Daphnia pulex: one gene and its partner. The protein of the gene in region 2 purifies or fractionates together with the protein of the main gene of each other region. This does not show direct contact. Links are inferred from orthologs where the notes say so. Each region holds a gene or a part of one and is shown on either strand. Other genes may lie near its edges.

The links.
Region 1: the proteins of WW domain-binding protein 2-like (region 2) and transcriptional coactivator YAP1-A-like purify together in Homo sapiens (affinity purification with mass spectrometry; 7 studies listed by BioGRID and IntAct, with this or other methods). This does not show direct contact. The link is inferred for Daphnia pulex from reciprocal best matches to the Homo sapiens genes WBP2 and YAP1.

What each region holds. Positions count from the first base shown.
Region 1 is NC_060025.1:6,895,076-6,899,084, forward strand, and holds the start of transcriptional coactivator YAP1-A-like, read right to left. Parts: upstream 2,801-4,009; 5' UTR 2,621-2,800; coding exon 2,157-2,620; intron 2,058-2,156; exon of another isoform or gene 1,643-2,057; intron 1-1,642. Other genes in the region: nucleolar protein dao-5-like, read right to left, coding at 3,716-3,777, 3,848-3,902, 3,969-4,009. UniProt on the Homo sapiens protein: Transcriptional regulator with dual roles as a coactivator and corepressor. Critical downstream regulatory target in the Hippo signaling pathway, crucial for organ size control and tumor suppression by restricting proliferation and promoting apoptosis.
Region 2 is NC_060023.1:8,646,060-8,650,390, reverse strand, and holds the start of WW domain-binding protein 2-like, read right to left. Parts: upstream 2,840-4,331; 5' UTR 2,739-2,839; coding exon 2,683-2,738; intron 2,610-2,682; coding exon 2,435-2,609; intron 2,374-2,434; coding exon 2,214-2,373; intron 2,143-2,213; coding exon 1,987-2,142; intron 1,922-1,986; coding exon 1,832-1,921; intron 1,773-1,831; coding exon 1,690-1,772; intron 1,625-1,689; coding exon 1,571-1,624; 3' UTR 1,544-1,570; exon of another isoform or gene 1,045-1,543; coding exon of another isoform or gene 870-1,044; intron 795-869; coding exon of another isoform or gene 695-794; intron 626-694; coding exon of another isoform or gene 497-625; intron 389-496; coding exon of another isoform or gene 321-388; intron 187-320; coding exon of another isoform or gene 57-186; intron 1-56. Other genes in the region: hatching enzyme 1.2-like, read left to right, coding at 57-186, 321-388, 497-625, 695-794, 870-1,044. UniProt on the Homo sapiens protein: Acts as a transcriptional coactivator of estrogen and progesterone receptors (ESR1 and PGR) upon hormone activation. In presence of estrogen, binds to ESR1-responsive promoters. Synergizes with YAP1 to enhance PGR activity.

The DNA.
Region 1 (4,009 bases), on a different chromosome or scaffold from region 2:
AGAGGGAGGGAGGGAAGGGGAATAATGTAAGCAACAACACACTCGGTCACATGGCCTTGGGAAGTAAAGAAGAGTAAAACGGAGAATACGGAAAACGTACTAAGGTGGGCAGACCGTCCCCGATCCTAACGTCGTTCAAGCTTGTTTCCGCCTCTCATGGGCAAACGCACCTAAATTTGCACGGACAAGGTCGCTTGTCGAAACCGGTAGCATTGCACAAAATGACAACTAGTTCTAAATCCTGGCGCCCAGAAATGAACCAACACATTCATTTTAATGCGGATTCATATTTTTTTTTTACCTGGACGAGCTTCATTTGTACGATTAAAAAAGCTTAAATAAACAAAAGAAACTCGTATTCCAGTTAAAAATGTTGATATTTTTCGAAGAGAATACTTTTTTTCATGAGGGATTTGGAGTTTCTAAGGATGAATTGAGAAGCCGTGGGAATTCCATCCATAAAAGGTTGAGTCGAGGGGGAGAGAGAAACCTGCTCCGTGTGCAGATTCTCCTTCCCAAAAATGGCGAGTCCAACCAAAGGCGGATGATAGGCGGTTCGCGTTGGCTCGGATCGAATCAACGAGCTCATGAATTAAAGAACGAAGATGGGCTTCACAAAAGGCTAGCATGGAACCCAAAGGACAGAAAAGCAACCCTCACGGAGAAAAAGAAAAGAACAAAAAAATTGGTCAAACAAGTGGATAGATAACGTACATACGGAGGAGAAAGTAGAGGAGAAGATGGAAAGGTCAGCCCATAGCCACAGGTAAGAATGGATCCAGGAAGAAGAAAATAGTTGGATAAAAGCTCGGAGACAGAGAAAACGGCTCCTCTCTTTCGCTGAGGGTCTCAATAGAGATGGCGGGAGGAGGGGGGACTCGTACCCAAGGTCACTATAAAAGAACAAGGTATTCAACAATAAGCAACCTAACCCACCAGCAGGAAACGTAGAGATCCCCCGTGCTTCGCTATGCATTCTCTCTCTCCTAAACACCACAGGCATTTGCCCCCGTCTCTTTCTTTACAGGTAAAAAGAAGAAGAAAAAAAAAATGGTAAAAGGTAGGAGGGCATTCCACAGACCTTTTTTCTTTTTACTTAAGGCCAGTATACATTCCATCGTGGTAAATTTGAGTTATTCAGTTGAGAAACTATGAGATCTCAACGGTTGTTCGACGAACCCTTAAAAATACGCGATTTGGCCAACCCCAACACACGTATCAGATGGCAAGAGAAAATATTCTAGTAGTCGGGCATGACTGTATGTAGTTATAATTTAATAAATAAGCAATCAGTTTTCGAGATGTGAGACGAATGAGGCGCCGTAAGTTGAGAAGGAGGGGTTGAAACGCAACAACCTCTAAAGAAAGCGTTTCTCGCTGTCGACAAGAGACTAAATCTTAAAATGGTTACCAGAGATGAAGTGGACCTAGCAACCATTCATTCAGAGCTAAACAAAACTTTTATCTTTCTCTACAAAAAAATATACATGCTACACACGAAAAAAGAGGTTTTTCTGACAGTAAAAACAAAATAGGATTCTGCAACTCACAATTTCATCGTATTTTCTCCCAAGAAAAAAGGTGTGGTTGCAGAACCCAATTTTCTTATGTCAAAAACTCCTAAGTGTGAAAGCAGCTTTACCCTACTGAGGGATGGTTGCTCCATAAAGGCACGGCCCGGTTCTATTTTTGCAGTTGAGATAGCTGCTCCAAACTGCGTCTCGACAGCGGCAAACTCCGACCCCTCCTCACGCTCTCAACTGTCCCGTTCAACCTGCGCATTTTGCTCAAATCGGCCACCCCTCAAGACTTTTTATGTAGTTCCTATTGCTTCTCCTCGCACTCTGAATCCGCCACCGTTTAATAATAGAACGCCATGACTTTCGGGTCCACATATCGCAAGCAGAATTAGCTAACCTACCCCGGCGCCTGTCCTTCACTTACGCCATCACTCAATGAACGCTGGCTGAGTAGTGCTTTTGCAAGGTCGCTTTCATCGAGGCTATATGCTATTATTCAATCGTGATGTACGACACAGTTTCAATTCGTGGGGACAGACGCAAAATATTTGCAACTTTACTATTTCACTAAACTTTGAGCTTGTAACTGAGGACTAGATCTAACTTAAGAAGTAAATAAATGAAAAGAAAGATTACTTTAAAAAGTAGACTTGTCCTTGAGGTGTCTTGGCTTGTTCCCATCCTTCAGGAAGTGGGAAGTGATCGAGAGTTAAGTCACAACTCTGTTGCTTTAAGTGCTGATGTACTGGTCGTTGTTGACCAGCTGCCAAAGTCTGTTGGAGTGAGGCTGGAGAGCTGTGTGCTCTCGAATGGTGAATATTGGCTGATGGTGAAGGGTTCAAAGCAAAATGCCCAGAATCTGTGCTGTTTTCTCTGCTGTGTGAATTAGATGCCACAGAAGGAGACTTTGATCCAGTTGGAGGTGGTTTGAAGAAAGAATCTGGCAGATTTCGCAACCGAAATGGCAGCTGCAATGGTCTGTGGGCATCAGGCTTCAGTACGCTGTCAAACAAGGCTTGTAATTCGGAATCAGAATCGCCACGAATGTGTACGATTTGATTCCGTTCTTTGTGCTCGACCACTTCGGGATTTTTTGACATTTTAATGATACCAGAACTTTCAAGCAGTCGAGCAGATAGGATAGGTAAGGGAATTACAATATGCTAAACAAAGAAAGACAACAACTAAGATCATAAAAAATGAAAAAGGTTAACTCAATAATCAGCCGACACACCCTTCCACACAAAAGACAGTCTGGCGAGTAACTGATGCACCTCATCTATGCAACTAGGCAAAAGCCGGAAGGTGGCAGGCTGGCATATCAATTTTTTCAATAACAAACTCGGACGCCATCTTCCGACTATAATTCATTTTACCTGATACTTGTTTTTTCTTTTTTTTTACAATAATTTTACATGATCTAGTGTTTCAAATGCTTTTTTTTTATACAAAAAGCAAATTTCCACAATTGAATGCAATACGAATGAAAATTATTATCGAATTACTAGTAAATAGAGAAGCAATGAACCTTTTCTTCATTAAATAATTTAGCTGGAAGTTATCGCAGCAAACTGTTTTTAACGTCGGTCATAGCAATAATCTTACACAATTTATGGTTTTCACGAATGACTATGTTTTCTTGTTAATTTGCAAACAAGACGGATAAGGTTTGTATGTGTATTATGCTTTTGAATTTCTCAAATGGTCAAGGATTGAAAACATGCATAGGGATGGAAAAACACGAACCCCGATGTGAAATTGTAGAAGAACATGTAAGAGAAATACAATCAACCTGTCCAATCAATCTCTCCTTTTTTCCACAAAACTAAAAGCGAGAGAAGAGATAAACGAACTTGCATCTACCATCACGCACCATCAGAATCGTACGACAACTTCTTTTCAGATTTTTCAAAGCAAACATTTAAACCGAGAACTTCCAGTAAAATGAGTACAGCGATCAATGATACCATTCAACAACTGGCACCTTGCGGATGGACTCTACGTCAACTCCAAAACGGCGCGTAGGATAGTTTTTTATATCCCGCAAAAAGGAAGAAAAATAAAATAAAATAAAATAGAAAAATGTCGCATTTGTTTTGCTATCGCTTAATTCATTCTTAATAGCTTAATTCATTCCGCAGTGTGCACGCCAGCTTTTGATCCCTTATCTTTAAAAGCTTACTTTCCCGATCAATTTAATCAATGAAATGAGCTTTGAGGTACTTCATCATGCCGAATGTACGAAATCTCTTAACGCCTATAAATTGTAAAAAAAATAAAACTCGTTAGAAATCACAGATTTTGAACTAGAACGGAAATGGCTTTACCAAAAACTTTCTGTAATTGTTCGTCACAAACCGCAAACTGTTTGTTCTTGGGATCCTAGACAAAATTTTGAATAAAACATATCAGTTATTGGTTCAATGAATTATTTGACATGAAACTTACATATAGGTTTCTTTCCTTGATTATAGACCACATTTTTTTTA
Region 2 (4,331 bases):
AATCCGTAGAAAAATTCCTTTTAAATGTCTAACACACAACCTTTTTTCCCCCATAGACCCGGTCGACCGAGAAACCATACAAACAGCCTTGTACACCCTTGGATTGATGACCTGCATCGATTTCGTCCCATACGACGGCGAGGTGGAGGACTACTTGCTTATTTGGCCTGTCGAGGAACCAGCCGGGTAACGACCGCTTCTCACGATAAGAACAATTCCACTTTTAGTTCATGAAAAGAAAGAAAAAAAAAGGCCTTTGCCACCGAGCTGAGGGAAATATTTGTACTCATTCAAATTCTGGTTGGCTTCTGTCTATACAGTTGCTGGTCGTTCATCGGTCGTACGGGTGGGCAGCAGGTCCTGTCGCTTCAGCCTCCAGATAGTCAAGGTATGGCCACACCGACACAAAAGAAAAAAAAAAAAAAAAAAAACGGGTTTACCTCTAATCCGGACCCCAGCAACTAACAAGTTCTAAAAACGTTATCAAACATAACAGGTCCCAAGTGTCTGGGAGGGCCGGGAAAAGCTATTCACGAAATGCTCCACGCCTTGGGTATTTTTCACGAGCAATCACGAGCAGACCGAGATGACTACGTCACTTTGAATCAAGAAAATGTCGTTAAACGTGAGCCAATTTTGAACCGAAATTTCTCAAATTTTTTATGATCTATTTTCATTCCCTTCTTCTATTCAGCATTTTTGCATAATTTTGCCAAGCAGAGTTTGCTTAACACGACCTACGATTTCGAGTACGACTACACGTCCATTATGCACTACGGGACCCATTTCTTCAGGTAACTAGCCTTTCAAAATGAATTTAAAATGGAATATAAAGTGAAGAGATTTTATGTTCCATGTTCAAAATTAAGTGCGGGAAGAGACAAGCCAACGTTGGTGCCGAAGCGTCGTGATGCCAAGATCGGCCAGCGCGACGGATTGAGCCGGACGGATTGCTACAAAGTGAATAAGCTTTACGGTTGCTTCGAAATTTCACCTTACGAGAAGCTCAAGTACGAGTCTTTCTGTGACATACTCGGCCTTTGAGCTCGCAAACGATTTGCGGCCACTTCACCCTTTGATCGAACAAAAAAAAAATGTTTTAACAATATAAATTATGTCGTGCGTCGTGCCAACATACTTCTATCCTCTCATCAAATCTACCACTATTTCATCGTTTGTTGTGCTATAAAATCGCTATAAGTTTGTTTTCCAAAACCAAGAGACAAATCAGACGAGTTGAAGCGCGACACATACTCTATTCCAGGATGGAAAAAAGTTTTCTTTCACAGAATACAAGAGCCGGAAACGATCTAAAATCGAGTGGGACGATCATAATATTCAGGAAAAAAAAAACTACAAGACGAACGGTCGGGAAACGACTAGAGATTAAACGCAAAAAATCAACTAGTAGATATAAATTCTCGGTAGAACGGGAATAAGGAATGCTATAGCGTGATATATCAGATCGACATCAAATACACACAACTATAATTTTCTTAAATAGATGTGAAGTATATTAGGGAATAGAGAAAAATTTGCCGACCGTGAATGTTGCGAATTTGGATGCTCTTTATTTGAATTTCTTGTCCTTGCTCTCCTCATAGCTGGGCGGGGCATCGTTGGACTAGAAAAACAAATAAAATGTTTAGTTTTCATGTCAGTGAAGGAACCTTTTAAATGGAATCTTACATATGCTGGAGGAACGTAAGCATAATGAGTATTGGGATCGTAGTAGGCAGTTCCGCTTGCGGCAGCTTCGGCAGCCTTGGCATCTATACAAAAATTGCATTTTATTTGAAACAAACAAAAACAAATCCTTTGAGTTTTTTACCATTTGAAGATGGTGCGTATCCATTATTAGCATTTCCAGGATAAATTCCAGGGTATGGAGGAGGCATGTCAGTCATGAAAACTGAATTTGCTATAAATAAATTTTAAACTATGAATTTCAATTTGAGTTCTAAGAAGGAATAGATATAAACCAACCTGGAGGAGCATTGGGAAATGCATTCGTGGGTGGAGGCACCCATCCATAATAACCACCATTAGGAGTAGAATAGGCTGGTGGTGGAGCGTTATGCCATGGTCCAGATGGTGGCTGATAGGCAGGTGGTTCATCAGAATATTGATGATTACGCTTGGCTGAAAATACAAAACCTCTCTGTTAAAAAACATACAACAAAATACAAAGAACTAGAGAAAATGAAACATACTTATACTTGCAGCTTGCAACATAGCTTGTCCATATTCAATGGCTCCACCATGTTTGAAGTGGAGCTTGAACTTGACTTCTCCAACCCATCCACCATTTGGCTGGGCACGAACTTTTCCTTTAATGTAGTTTGCTCCAAACATGGGTTGTTCCAGTTCAACCTAATATCAAGTTGTCATGACTATTTGAATATTCGAGTGCTAATGAGAAAAATGAACTTGCATCTTTCATGGTGCAAAACGGAAAGCTGAAGCTTTGAAGAGGATCTTTTGTTGTCGAACTGTTAAAGATCATCCTGTGAGTAGTCAAGTAGAGCCTGCCTGCTTTATCACCCTTAAACTCTGGTCTATCTTGCCCGCTGAACTCCATCACGACGTTGTCGCAATACAACAGAATACTGAAATATAAGTTGTCAAAGGTAAATGCGAATTCGATTTTCTCGTTAGTTATTTGATGTCTCTACAACTCACCATTCTCCAGCATAAATCAGCACACCGTTATTTGCGTGAGCAGTATTGAGAGACATTCTTCGATTTCGTATTTTACCAGTTACCAGAATAGAGGATGCACGACAATGACACGACGTTTCAATGTTATGAGTGTTTTCGAGAATATGACGAAATCGGATAGGTCACGATAAAACAGATGCCATCTAGCGGACATTATTGTAACATTTGCTTTAAAGTTGAAGCCGCCTAAATTCGAAAATCGGAAGAATTGGAGATGAAGGTAGACAAGTTTATCTTCTAAAACAAAATAAATAAATAAGATAAGAATAGTAGATTATTTAAAGCTTCATTCATAATCCCTCCCAGATTCAAATTATAAAGTACGAAGTTACCATCTGCCATCTTACCAATTTGGATCTTTATTTTTAAGCAGACATGTAGGCTACTTCAGAAAATCATTGAAACCGTAATAAAATTCAATCAACAATAAATTTATCTGTCAACTTGGTAGACTTATATTACACCAAAGAGCTTGTACTATGCTTGGAGAAATAGATGTTTCTGGAATTGAGATTCAGCTGTCTAATACTCCATGCTCTTACTACTTTTCATGAAAAGTGTCTTCAACGACAAGAGACGCTTAAATGAATCCCGGTTAACGATTTCAGGGTTATCTGGAATGAAGGAATCGGAGCCGTTGCGTTGGGTGATTGCTCGAATTTAAATCGCCGGAGAAGATTCGATAACACGATCTTGCTTCCAACATTGCAAATCTTTGACCTACAAACACAAAAGTAATGCAAAGGCGGCATTTGGCAAAATCATTATAAAATACGTATAATTTAGAAATTAAAATACCGATACAGTTGCGAGGTCCAGCACTAAATGGTATGTAAGCGTACGGATGTCGGCCAACGGCCTGGTCAAGCAAGAAACGCTCTGGCTTGAAAACTAAAGGGTCTGGGAAACATTTGGAATTTTTATGCGTAGTTAAAGCTAGACATCCCACCGAACAACCGGCAGGTATCAAATAATTCCCTATAGAAGGACAAAAAGATTATACTTCTATATTAGCAAGTGATGCGGATTAGAAAACGTGTAACGTCACCGATTCGAATATCTTCTTGGACATGTCTTTCAAATCCAGCTATGCTGGGGTACATCCGCAATGTTTCCTTGATGCAACATTCAAGATACTTCAAATTGGGAATATCCTCTTGAGTGCATTCGCTTTCCGACTTCCCAAAGACATCTTGTAATTCGTTGTACGCTTTTTCCTGATTGTGGCATACACGGTGTCATGTGAAATTCCCGATATAAATACCGGATGAAAATTTGATTGCTAGGGATATTATACATTATAGTATAATAGCGTCAATTGTTTTTTACCTGGCATTCTGGGTTCACTGCCATTAAGTAGAGAAACCATCCCATCATTGAGGCCGACGTGTCGTGACCCTTATTAAACATCAGAAACTTTTGTTTGCGCTTCAATCAATAATTACTTTTACTGGGAAATAGTACCTCAAACATGAAAGTGTCAATTTCGTCTTGAATGTCCTGATTGGAGAGAACTTGGCCGTCATCGGAAGCTGTAATCAGTAAATCGAGCAGTGCTAGCTGGTTTCCTGTTAGATACAATTTGTGTTTGGTCATAAGTTATTGTTTTG